Mus musculus: one gene and its partner. The protein of the gene in region 1 purifies or fractionates together with the protein of each later gene. This does not show direct contact. Links are inferred from orthologs where the notes say so. Each region holds a gene or a part of one and is shown on either strand. Other genes may lie near its edges.

Region 1 (6,273 bases):
ACAGACAGTAAGGTAGAATAAACCCTTTCCTCTGAGGTCGTGGTATTTATTTCAGCCAAAGCATGAAAGCTGGCACACACTCAAATATAGAACACAAGACAACTTTTAAGACAGGGAGTATTTTATTTAAAACCCATAAGTGAAATGGGCAGCTTGGGTCTCTGTCAAATCAATCATTCATAAGTCAGTAACTGTATGAAAGCACACATTGCCACATACAAATTAACTGATCAGACCACAACTTTCTGTGTTGGAACACAATAAACATCCCTGTGGAAGCAGCACCTTGTGACATTTAATTTAGTATTCCTCTCCTTCTTCCTCCCCCTCGCCTTCCACAGAATCCACACCAACCTCCTCATAATCCTTCTCTAGGGCAGCCATGTCCTCACGGGCCTCAGAGAACTCACCCTCCTCCATGCCCTCACCCACATACCAGTGCACAAAGGCACGCTTGGCATACATCAGATCAAACTTGTGATCTAGGCGAGCCCAGGCCTCAGCAATGGCTGTGGTGTTGCTCAGCATGCACACAGCTCTCTGCACCTTGGCCAGGTCACCACCGGGTACCACAGTGGGAGGCTGGTAGTTAATGCCAACCTTGAAGCCAGTGGGGCACCAGTCCACAAACTGGATGGTACGCTTGGTCTTGATGGTGGCAATGGCAGCATTGACATCTTTGGGAACCACATCACCACGGTACAGCAGGCAGCAAGCCATGTATTTACCATGGCGAGGGTCACATTTCACCATCTGGTTGGCTGGCTCAAAGCAGGCATTGGTGATCTCTGCTACAGAAAGCTGCTCGTGGTAGGCTTTCTCAGCAGAGATGACAGGGGCATAAGTGGCCAGAGGGAAGTGGATACGAGGGTAGGGTACCAGGTTGGTCTGGAATTCTGTCAGATCAACATTCAGGGCCCCATCAAATCTGAGGGAAGCAGTGATGGAAGACACAATTTGACCTATCAACCTGTTTAGGTTAGTGTAGGTTGGGCGCTCAATGTCGAGGTTTCTACGACAGATATCATAGATGGCCTCATTGTCTACCATGAAGGCACAATCAGAGTGCTCCAGGGTGGTGTGGGTGGTGAGGATGGAATTGTAGGGCTCAACCACAGCAGTGGAAACCTGGGGGGCTGGGTAAATGGAGAACTCCAGCTTGGACTTCTTTCCGTAATCCACAGAGAGCCGCTCCATCAGCAGGGAGGTGAAGCCAGAGCCAGTTCCCCCGCCAAAGCTGTGGAAAACCAAGAAGCCCTGGAGACCTGTGCACTGGTCAGCCTGTGGGAGAAAAGGAAATGTAATGTTTTATTAGGAGGGCATACTCTTAGCACTATTTGCAATTCCTTTAGATTGGGAGCCATATTTGCTTGATAGAAAAGACTTGACAGATTCTGACAGATACCAAGACACCCTCCCACTGCATTTTAAACCCATCCATATATGGCATTTACCAGCTTGCGAATCCTGTCCAGGACAAGGTCAATGATCTCCTTGCCAATGGTGTAGTGGCCACGAGCATAGTTATTGGCAGCATCCTCCTTGCCTGTGATGAGCTGCTCAGGGTGGAAGAGCTGGCGGTAGGTGCCGGTGCGAACTTCATCTGCAAAGGGAGAAGACGTCAGCCATCGGCCACCGAGGACACACACAAGCTCACTCACCCTTCTGGGTCTGGAGAGAGATTCTGAGTATGTGACCAAGAAGGAATGCCTGGGGAAGCCCCCAGCCAGCTTACCGATGACCGTGGGTTCCAGGTCTACGAACACTGCCCGGGGCACATGCTTGCCAGCTCCTGTCTCACTGAAGAAGGTGTTGAAGGAGTCATCTCCTCCCCCAATGGTCTTGTCACTTGGCATCTGGCCATCAGGCTGGATGCCATGTTCCAGGCAGTAGAGCTCCCAGCAGGCATTGCCGATCTGGACACCAGCCTGGCCAACATGGATGGAGATGCACTCACGCTGTGGAAAGAGGGAAAAAAATTATAAAATTAAGCTGTTATAATATTAAGCTGTATTTCTATTTTAGATCTTAATAGATTTCTAAAGTGTTTCTAAAAATAGAAATATTGTTGAAATTTATTTGGAGTCACATCCCTAATAACAGGAACAATGAGGAGTACTCACTACAAACACCAAAAGTGGGTGTGGCCTAGATGTCACCTTAATACTGCTTAAGACATGGTGCAAACCCATTGTTTCCAAAGCCTTGCTTGAATAGAACAGCTTTCATATTTGAAAAATATTTAAAGCATAGATTCTGTAAAACAAAATAATTATCCATAATAATACTAATTGCTTCTTTACCCGATAAGTAAGGATGAAGTTTTCATCCTATAGGACCTGGTATTTCATCATGGACATCTGCAGTGCGGCTGGGGCCAACAGCCACACCCTTCTGTGGACCCCATCAGTACTCTGGCTAGGCTACATAATAAAGAGTCTCACACTATAGGACCTTCTATTTCAACACTGACATCTGCAGTGCGGCTGAGGCCAGGAGCCACACCCTTCTGCAGACAGACCCCATCAGTACTTTGGCTAGTCGACAAGCTAGACAAAGTCTGATTTCTGCATTGCCACGTTCTCTGTGCCTGGTGCTAGCCTGTGCTGTTACATTATTTAACAGAGAAAGCTCTATTTCCAGCAGCTGTCTATGCGATCTCTTTGTGCTGCTTTCATGGTCCCTCCTAACCCTGGCTGGGGCCATTAGCCTGAATTAATGAATTAGTGCACATTTATTAGAACAAAAGATGGTTGGGTGCAGAGTATAATTTTTTTCTTTGCAGAAAATCCATTGTTTTTTGAAGGTTTTCCACTGTATGGAATGGAAATATTCTTAAAGCAGGCTAAGTTAGAAACAATGAGCGCCAACATTTTTTAAAAAAACAAGTGAAAAGATAGCTAAATTTAAAAGTAGAAAATAATATTTTTATCCTATGAATCTCTACATACCACTAATATTTCATTCTATAGAGATACACGTCTGTTGTGGAGGGACTACTTTCATTGTCTGCGGGGGTGGGGGGCGGGGAAGGGCGTTTCCCTGGGTTCTGACCATCAGCGTACTCTAGGATTCACAAAGTGGGCTTTGTCATTCCCCAACCATCCAGCTCCCCTCCCCCCTCAGCGAGATGTCCCCGTTAAGCAAATCGTATTTTTGACAGCCCTGCAGACGAAACATCCCATGACTACAGTTCCACAACGATTTTTTTTAAAGTAAAAATAAAAATAATTAAAAAAAAAAAAACCGCTCGGAAGAGGCTTAGTGAGAACCAACCCCTCCCAAAACGCCACGGAAGCAAGAGACAAACAACCCCGCCCCTGCGCCTCCCTGACAGCGGCTGCCATGGATCCGACGCAAACTAAACATTTTCCTAGCGAAGTGGGGCGGTGTTTCTGGAGTTCGGGCTCGGCCGCCGCCCCTGCCCTCCTACAGCAGCGGACCCTCGATCCCCCACCCGTCCCCGGCGGTCCCCGTGGTCCCCTGCAGTCCCTGGCTCTGCCAGCGCTAGCTCATCGGCGCTGCCTTTGTTCTTCCCGGTCTGGGCGTTTCCGTGTCCCGCACTGCGGCGGCGGGACTCAAAGACTAAGATAAACTTAAAGCATGGAGACCACCCTTTCCCCGCAGAGGTGACCAAAGCCTTAGACGTTTCCTTGCAGATCTGGGGCGACTGACACCCACCCTCTATCTACCGAGAGCCGGGGAAGGCTTGCTCACCATGGTTGCTGCTTCGCGGCTGCCGGGTGGATGGCGGAGGCGAGGAGGAGGTGTTGCTTCTTACAGCGCGACTCTTAGGCGGTCGATGTAAGAGAACCTGCGGCACTTGGGCGGATGCGGCTCCTTATATACAGCTCTGTCACCATGGGGATGGGCCAGGGCCTTTTCCTGTTGGTCCAGACCCCTCTGTCTGCCCAGAGAAGCCGCGACAGGAGAGTGGTGATTGGTGCAAGCGACATGGTATGAGGTAATCTCTCCCCCACCCCTTCCCCCTAGCATCCGTAGACTTTGCATCCTTCAGACAAAGGCCGTGCAAAGGCAGCTAGCCGAGCATCCATTATGGGGTGGAGTTGGGGAGGGGTGGAAAGGGAAGAAAGAAAACTGGGGTTGGATGATTATACGTAGTTTAAACCTTAAACTGTATTTAAAAATCATCTAAGGTTTTTCCCAACACTTAATCACAGAATTTATGTTTAGAATCTTTTTGGAAAATTCCAGCTTTTCATTTTTAATATACTGAATTTAATTACGTTCTGTCAGAATTCAACATCTCTATTTGCTTTAAAAAGTAGCAGAAGATACGGGGGTGGTCAAAAAGGCGTGGCTGAATGTTTAGTTTCATAGTTATTGTATTATTGTTATTCTTTATTATTATTTGAGCAAAAGTCAGTACGAGTAGACCACGCCTGTGACCTCAACAGCACCTGGGAGTCAGAGGCAGGAAGACTTGCAGCTCAAGGTCATCTTAACTGGCCTTAGTGGTTTATTCCTGTGTATCCCAGCACTGGGAAGCCGGGGATTGCAGCTAATTTGTGCCCACCCTGGATATATAGTGTGATATCCTGTCTCAAAAACCAAAAGAAAAAGAAAGAAAGAAAGAAAGAAAGAAAGAAAGAAAGAAAGAAGAGAAGAGAGAAATAATATACAAAGTAGTACTTAATACTAGAGAGCTTTCTTTCTTTAGCTGTAATTCTCTCCCATCACCCCTCCGTGCCCGCCCCCCTACCCCACCCTACCTCACCCCAGAGCCTGTGTTATTTTGTCCCTAGAAATGAGCCATCCTTTCTAATATGGAATTCAGAAACTGTAAGGAGAAAGAATTGAGTTTAAAAACTAGCTCTTTGTGTGGGCTTGTATTTCTCCAGTCTTTTTTTTTTTTTTGGAGGGGGAGGGGTGATATCAAGTAAAAAATAACTGAGATGCCAAATTAAAAAGAGGAGCGTTTTATAATATAAAAGGAAACCATTTTGTGATGTTTTCATCCCCAGACAACTGTGCAGTGCCAGCCCTGCTGCAGTTTTATGTAGTTCCCTGAATTCTGTAAATAGCCCCTTCCGCAGCTGGGCTTCTGACTGTGGGAACTGTAGCTGCTCTCCCCAAGGCTGCTCAGCCAGAGACTGTGGTCCTTGCTCAATTGCCCCTTGGGACAAAAATGCCTTGCTTTCACTCCTAGGAAATAGATTACAGTGGCACTCTCTTGCTATGTAGAAAGGCTCCGTTGTCAGCAAGGAAGATCTCTATATAGTGAGTCTCCGAGCTGCGGACCACTGATAATTTGCAGGATGAAATTTTAGAGGAAAAGAGATATTTGTTTGGGCACCGAGCTAAAAATGTGGATTTTGACAGATGGCTTCCCTTTCAGTAGCAGAGTCTTGGTCGCCCGCAGCTCTGTTTGCGAGCCCTGTGGAGTCCATTCATTCCGGCTGGGCTCCCAAGGCGCAGGGCGCTGGTGTGGGAGGGAGAGCCTTGGGAACACAGCAGCTGCAGGTTGTGAGCTAACAATGGTGGCCATGAGTTCTTCTAGCCTGAGGTCCACAGCTCTGCCTTTCTTGTTTAAATTTATCGTAAAAGTCTTTTCTAAAGAAAAACAAAACAAAACAAATCAATATAACCCACAAACAAAGAATTGTCTACTTCTTGCATATTTCCTAGGAAAAACAACCCCCTCATCTTCATTATTTTATAGCAGAGGGAAGAGAGATGACTTGACTACCTCTAACATGTAAGTATATCAGCAAGAACAAGAACTAAATGGTGTCAGCGCTCTCTCAGAGAAGGCCACACCCATGTGCTCCGATATTGTTCTGATCACTTCTCTCTTAACTCTTATGTTTAGAATTGATAGTAATGAATAAATCCCAACTGTGCTTCATTAAAAAAAAAAAAAATTAAACAGCGGAGAGAACATAAGGATTGACAAATAGCTTGTTGAAAAGATCGTCACAATTAAAAACTATTTCATTTGTGCATGTATTGTGCAGGTGTGCATGTGTATTTGAGGGTGTGTGTGTGTGTGTGTGTGTGTGTGTGTGTGTATGTGTGTGTGTGTTTGTCTTTGGAGGCCAGAGGACAACTACAGGAGCAGATTCTCTTCTTTCACCGTGGGAGTTCCAGGGACAAACCTCACCTTCTCAGCCGTGGTAGCAAGTGCCTTTACCAGCTAAGCCTCCCCTCCTTCCATCAAATAATAATAATAATAATAATAATAATAAAGCATACACTACAGAGCCACGATGAAGTATAACACAATTTTTTTTCAAGTATGGCGATTCATTT
Region 2 (6,344 bases), on another chromosome or scaffold:
GTACAAATCCTTAGTTCTTGCTCCCTCAAAAAACATAACCCGGGGAGGCGCGCTACTCTCCCTGTCTAAGCCCTCAGAGACTGGGCTGCCTTAAGGGAAATCACTTCTCTCCACATCTGACAGTTCCACCCACGGTTCTGATGGAAGACTTGGTCAAGCCTCTGTCTCCTTACCAAGAGGACCAAGACTGGAAGGATAAACAACTGGGAAAGCTGTTGGCTTCCAATCCCCAGCATCCTGAGAACACAGCATATCAAACGATTGTTTTGGTAAGAAGTACACGCATGCACTTCAGGTTGTCTTTGGAGTTACATGGAGAAGCCACAGGAGTGCTGACTTCCAATAAGACTGACTTATTTACTTGCACATTGCTGGCTTGTTAGTTAAATCTCTACAATAATGAAAGCACCTGTGAGCACATCACCACGCAGGAACATGGCAGTTATCCTTTTAATTTTCTCAGTTACCAAGTCAGCAGTGTGTCTACGTTAATGTCTCATCACCATAGAGATGAAGTCAGGAGCCAGGTTACCTGAATGTGGTGTCTCTGTAGAAATGGCAAACCACTTTCTCACTCTCCTTGACCTCTTGAAAGAAGTCTCTCTCGCTGCCGATTTCTCTGTACTCCCCGTGCCCTTTGGAAAGCCACTCCTAATTTCAAGAGAAGCAAAAAAGACCCAGCTGAAATGTGTTTCAGTGACACCAAGTGTCTTACATGTCTCAATCACTGTGTACTTCTGTAAAGGAATCAATTCTATAAATAGCAGGTGTTCCCATCCGCAGTTGGCTTTCCTATGCCGAAGTGGCAATTAGTGCAGACCTAGTCTGTGGGCAGGAGTGACCGTCTCTATGATGGTTCAATTAAGACAGTTTTGCATCTTATTGATTTACCTGCTTCATTTTAAGTTTCACAGTCAGAATTTAGGTCTGAGAGACATGACATGAAAATACCAATTTAACTTTCACATGCATGCTCTTTAAACTAGTAAAATCAGGATTGTTTGATCCAAATGATTACAAAAGTGTTTTTCTGTTTATTTTGTGATGCGAGGGACTAAACCAGGAAGAGCAGGCTAGGGAAGAGCTCTACACTTTAGAAAATAATGTTCTTACAGACAATTAAGGGATGCTGAGTGTGGGAGAAAGAGTGTTCTCCAGGGAGAGCACACCAACTGGCTATCCACTACCGAACGGTCAGCCTTGAAAATGTACACACAAGCAACATTATACAGACTGAGCATGGTATACTTAGAAACAATGTCCTATCCACAGCAAAAACTAAACAAACCAAACCACCTCAAGAAATAAAGTCCGTCTATCCTGGGGACAGTGCAGTCATCACCGCTCAGGAGCTTAAGAACCTATCCATCTCAAAACAGGGAGGGCTTCTACACCAGCCAACAGTGGGCAGAGTCCTCAGAAGGAAGAGTATTATATCCATGTGGGGTCCAGAGCCAAGGAAAAGCCTCACAAGGAAACGTTCAGCTTCCCAGGCTGAGGAAGGGCCATTACCCACAATCCTGGGAACTCTTCCAGCCCCTTCTACCTTTCCTGTGGCAGAAAGCTTGACACCTCAAACAGATGCTCACTCTCCCTCCTCAGGCAGCAGTGGCAACACCCACCCCAGCATTAACTGACCAGGGTTCTAATGAACCTTCCGAGCCTTCACCTTCTCTCTTGTAAGTCAGTGTGACAAACCAACCACGTCACTGAGTGGCCATGAAAACCACAAACAGAACAGGGGTGCTGGCGCTCAACTCCAGCACTTCGTAGGCAGAAGCGGTGTTGTCTGTGAGTTCTAGGCCAGTCATGGCTATACAGTGAGATCCTGCTCCTGTCCTGCCCCCCCACAAAAGATAACCTAATAAAAATGCAGAGTCTAACACTTAAATATCTTCTCGTACAGAACCATGATACTTCTTTCTGATACGTGGACCCTAAGCTTGGTCTATGAGAAGACGTTTCATCTCTCTTTTACTATCAACGCCCCAGTCAAATGCTTCATCTTGCCTAAACCTTCCCTAATGTTTCATCCCTGGGTTAAGTATTGAACATTGACGGAGATGTGAATTCAGAACATCCTGCAAGTGAGGAGGGAAAGTCACATGACTGCAGTGCAGTCGGGAGCTGGGCTCCAGTGATTCAGTGAGCAGGCGGGCGGGCGGGAGGTTACTTGTTTCTGCTGCTGAGCCTTCCTGAGCGCCGCCAGCCTCTTTTCTTTGAGCAGCTCCAGTTCATCTTCACCAATCTGATCCAGTTTCTGAATTTCAGAGTCCAAGTGATTCTCCACCAGCTTAGCGGCCTGGAGGAACTGGTTCTCCAGGACTTCTGAGAACATGTCGACGGATCCATTACCTTCCATTGTTCTAAGTGGTCTTGGTGCTGGGGGAGGGGGCATAAAAAATAAGTATTAAGTTTACATTTCGGGGGCTTTGTTGTTTTTTTTTTTTTTTTTAAAACAGGGTCTCTGTAACAGAGCCTGAGAGGTTAACACAACAGATGCCATGTTGGAGGCACTATTTTGGCCTTAGAACTCAGCATGTAGGCCCCAACACCTGCCAAAACCAGAATAAAGATGTAAACCATCAAAGATCTCATTTATGGTTCCAGAATCCAGGGAAATCCCTAAATACACTAGCTTGCTTTTCGGCATACTTCCTCAAAAATATCCTGACATAAACGTTACAAGTCCAGGTGACAGCCCATCGCTTCTACGACTAAAGGCAGGCTCTTGAAGCAGAGAGAAGTAATTACACACACGTCTACTTGTGTCCAACATCTGCTGGAGAACAACATTAATCTGGGAGTAGATTAATTAATGCAACCAAGACAATCCCTACTCTCTGAGCCATGCCCACTGGCCAACCTAATCTACCCAATTTCTCAATGAGTCTTTCTTCCTAGGTGACCGTAGATTATTCTATCAAGTTGACAGCTAAAACTAATCAGCTCACACACAAAATAAGCCTGGGCATGGTGGCTCATGATTACAACCTCAGCTCTCAAGGGCAGAAGCATAAGGGTCACACCTCATATTTGGAGCGATAGGCCTGGGCTACATAAGGTCATTTAAAAACTCCAACTGTCAGCTTCTCATAAATACTATACAACTGAAAAGAAGCTGTACTCCCAGGATCCCTAACTCGGGGAAGAGAGAGAAGGATCCGAGACCAGCCACTCAGAATCTGCATCACAGTATTCGTTTATCACCGAGAATTTCACAGGAGACCTTTACGTTTAAATGCGGAGCTTCACGCGACTAAAAGTGCTGCCCTGAATTAGGCGGAGGTGGTCACTGCCTTTATATTGGGGGTAAGGACATAACTTTCTATTTATTGAACCAAATCGAGTATTATTCTTACCGACGAACTGGGGGCCCTGACACCTATGTACTCCCCTACAAACTCCTAACCGAAACCCTAACCCCATGTACCTGTCAGCAGACTCTTCGCCACTCCCTGAGCTCAAGAGACTGGTGGAGTAGTTCCGGGGGGACCCGATTTCGCACTAACTGGGGCGCATGCGCCGTAGCCTCCGCAGCCGCCCAGACGAGGCCCTCCCAGCCGCTCCCTCGATCCCAGCCGAGGATGTGTCCTTCATCAACACTGGGACGCTGTGGCACTATCGGCCACATCACCCTCAGCCGTACCTGGACTATTGATGAGGCCTACGGAGAGAGGAAGCCGCAGATCAAGAATACCCACCGGGTTCACACAGGTTTCAACCTCGCAGCAATTGTTAAGGGCAGAGAAGGGGCTGTTAACTCCGCCACTTCATTGGCTACAGTCCTCTCGCGATACAATGTGAGACACTCGCGGAAAGGGCGGTGGCGAGTGACGAAAGCCTCGGAGAAGCCCTATCCTCCGCCACCCGGAACTACTGGCTTCCGAGCCTACGCTTCACGTGGGCTAATGGCCGGAGGGATGGGCGCTAGGCACGTTGGGAATTGTAGTTCTTTGTGCACTGACTGCGGGTCCCGGCTCTACCGGGAAACGAGCCGGGTCTTGAGCCTGAGTGACAGAGGGGCTTCATTTCTCGTTGTGTTTAATAGTTTCGAAAGTGTAGCTTACAGTACATTATAATTTATACACAGCTCACACTAGTAACATCGCCCCGAAACATGGAGAAAATTTTCACCATGCCAGGATCTTCCCTCCTGACTTTCTTAGGCACATGAATTTTTAGAACTTGCTCATACGAAGATTCATATTAGGGGACCCGTTGCTGTGTCCTTATGTCTTTTTCCCCTTAATAAATGTACACAGTTGACAATTCATGAGTGTTTCTGAGAGGGATCCCATTTTTTGTCCTGCCACCCCCAGAACGCTCATCATTGACTCTTTGTGGTCCTGTAATGGACTTCCCGCAGCTGAGGCCGCGTAGGCAGGGGAGAATTTTCAGTCCCACTTCTGCGTCGAAAGCCAGCCCCGGGAAGGGTGCCGACGTGAGAAATGAACGGCCTCATTGTCGTCCTCTAGGTTCTAGAACCCGGGATCCGCCGGACGTCGGTGCGCGGCGCTCACTTGCGGCGAGGGGGCGCCTGGGTTCCCACCTGGCCGGCGGCTCTACTGGAGACGCTCTAGCCGAAGCGCCGCTCTCGATGAGCCGCGCCCTGCGTCCCCACGCCGAGGCGGCGGGGCGATGCGCTTGCGTACTGAGGGCTCACACCATATGTGCCCTGTCCCAGTGCGCGGGTCTGTGGAGAGCCGGGTGCGAGAGGCGGCGGCGCGAGGGGGACCGAGCCGAGCGGGCATTGGAGTCAGCCGGGAGACAGTGGGTCTGTGAGACACCGAACCGAGGGGCCGGGGCCGCGAGCGCCGTTGACAAGCGATGGGGAAGAAACAGAAAAACAAGAGCGAAGACAGGTAGGCGGCGGGGCTCGGGCCGGGGGTCCTCCGGGAGTCGCGCGGGGCCCTGGATGGGCGAGCCTCGACGGGGCGCGTCCCGCGGCCGGGGCTCGGGCTGGGGTCCGAGGCGTGGGGCTGAGGGGCTCGGAGGTCGTTTGGGGGTCCGGGCGGTGTGGGGCCGGGCTCGGGCGCTGCTAAGCCAGGCCTACGGCCCAGGTGAGTGCGAGCCGGGCCCGGAGAGCCCGGGTGGGGCGGGCCGGGAACGGCTCCCTCGCCTCCCCTGGCCCTGGGAACGCCTCCCAGAGCGGCTCAGGAACTTCGGAGGTGCTCGGGGTTGCGGAGAGGTAGCCCAGCGGCTCCCTCCTCCCGTGTGCCAAGTTGGAAACACTTCTGGGGTTATTTAAAGTCCCGGTTGCCCAGTCCTGCTTTCTGGCTTTCCATTTTCCGGCCTCTTTTTTTTTTTTTTTTTGCGTATGTCTTGGCTTCCTACCGCTTCCCTTAAGAAAGGAGGAGGGGAAGAAACCAGTCAAGGGTCGCTGCTTTCTAACCTTAAAAGAAAAAGCCTTTTCAGGGGAAGGAGTGTGTGTTTATGAGCTACTTAGGCGGAGATTTGGGGAGCATGCCTGTGCCACGTTCGATTAAGTTCTTTTACCCTTTTCAGTTGAGTTGACTTCCTGGGCGTCTGCAACCATCTGTTCCATTTCATCTTTAAGTAATGGCCATTCAACTTAATTTAAAACACTACAGGTAACCGAAAACAAAACCAAGCCTTGTGGCACTTCATCGCTGTGGCTCACACAGACATGGTTTTGAAGTTAAAGCTGTTGAAGTGTATGTCGGAACACTTAAGTGTGTGGACCTCGCAGTTGGCTATCTGGCAAGAAGAATTTAAAGACTAGGCTTGTATTTTGGTTTTAGGTCTGTTGGAGAATGTAAACTGGTCTGCGGAATAGATTCTGGGTTTCTTGTGGCAGAGTTAGTGTTTATGAGGAACAGGGTTTATTACAGATTTAGATGTGAGCATTAAGAGGGACAACAGAGGAGGGTTCTGTAGAGCAGGGAAGCTGAGAACTTCCTCTAGAATGGGGGTAGGGCTTCTCAAAGAGTGGCCTGAAAGTTACTGTTAGTCAAATCAGGAGAATAAAAAGAGGTAAGCAGATATTCCTGAACCTTTGGTAGGACATTGGCATACGTGAGTAACATTTTATTTATTTATATTTTTCTGAGAAGAATTTTGAGTTCTATCAGTCATCTATCTATGTATGTACTCTGCATTGTCTGTTTCTGTGTTAAATCATCACCCTACCCTGCCTTTGCCGGTCTGCAAACATCATCACTTGGCCAGTTCTAAAATACCCACTTGTTGGACAGTCTAAACCAAATCTGAGGCCTTTCATGTGTACAAACGTCAGGTGTATCTGGAAGATAAAGGTTGTGCTGGGGCCCTGTAGAAATGTAACAAGACAACCACAGTTGGATTGGACTAAGGAATAGGAA

What was found. The genes of interacting proteins can lie anywhere in the genome.
Region 2: the proteins of Tuba1a (region 1) and Txndc9 purify together in Homo sapiens (affinity purification with mass spectrometry; 3 studies listed by BioGRID and IntAct, counting the BioPlex papers as one, with this or other methods). This does not show direct contact. The link is inferred for Mus musculus from reciprocal best matches to the Homo sapiens genes TUBA1A and TXNDC9.

Annotation. Positions count from the first base shown.
Region 1 is NC_000081.6:98,949,734-98,956,006, forward strand, and holds Tuba1a (tubulin alpha-1A chain), read right to left. Parts: upstream 3,769-6,273; 5' UTR 3,721-3,768; coding exon 3,718-3,720; intron 1,959-3,717; coding exon 1,736-1,958; intron 1,604-1,735; coding exon 1,455-1,603; intron 1,282-1,454; coding exon 301-1,281; 3' UTR 114-300; downstream 1-113. UniProt on the Homo sapiens protein: Tubulin is the major constituent of microtubules, a cylinder consisting of laterally associated linear protofilaments composed of alpha- and beta-tubulin heterodimers.
Region 2 is NC_000067.6:37,993,460-37,999,803, forward strand, and holds the start of Txndc9 (thioredoxin domain-containing protein 9), read right to left. Parts: upstream 3,750-6,344; 5' UTR 3,650-3,749; exon of another isoform or gene 3,434-3,649; intron 2,383-3,433; 5' UTR 2,363-2,382; coding exon 2,174-2,362; intron 652-2,173; coding exon 533-651; intron 1-532. Other genes in the region: Eif5b (eukaryotic translation initiation factor 5B), read left to right, coding at 4,831-4,865. UniProt on the Homo sapiens protein: Significantly diminishes the chaperonin TCP1 complex ATPase activity, thus negatively impacts protein folding, including that of actin or tubulin.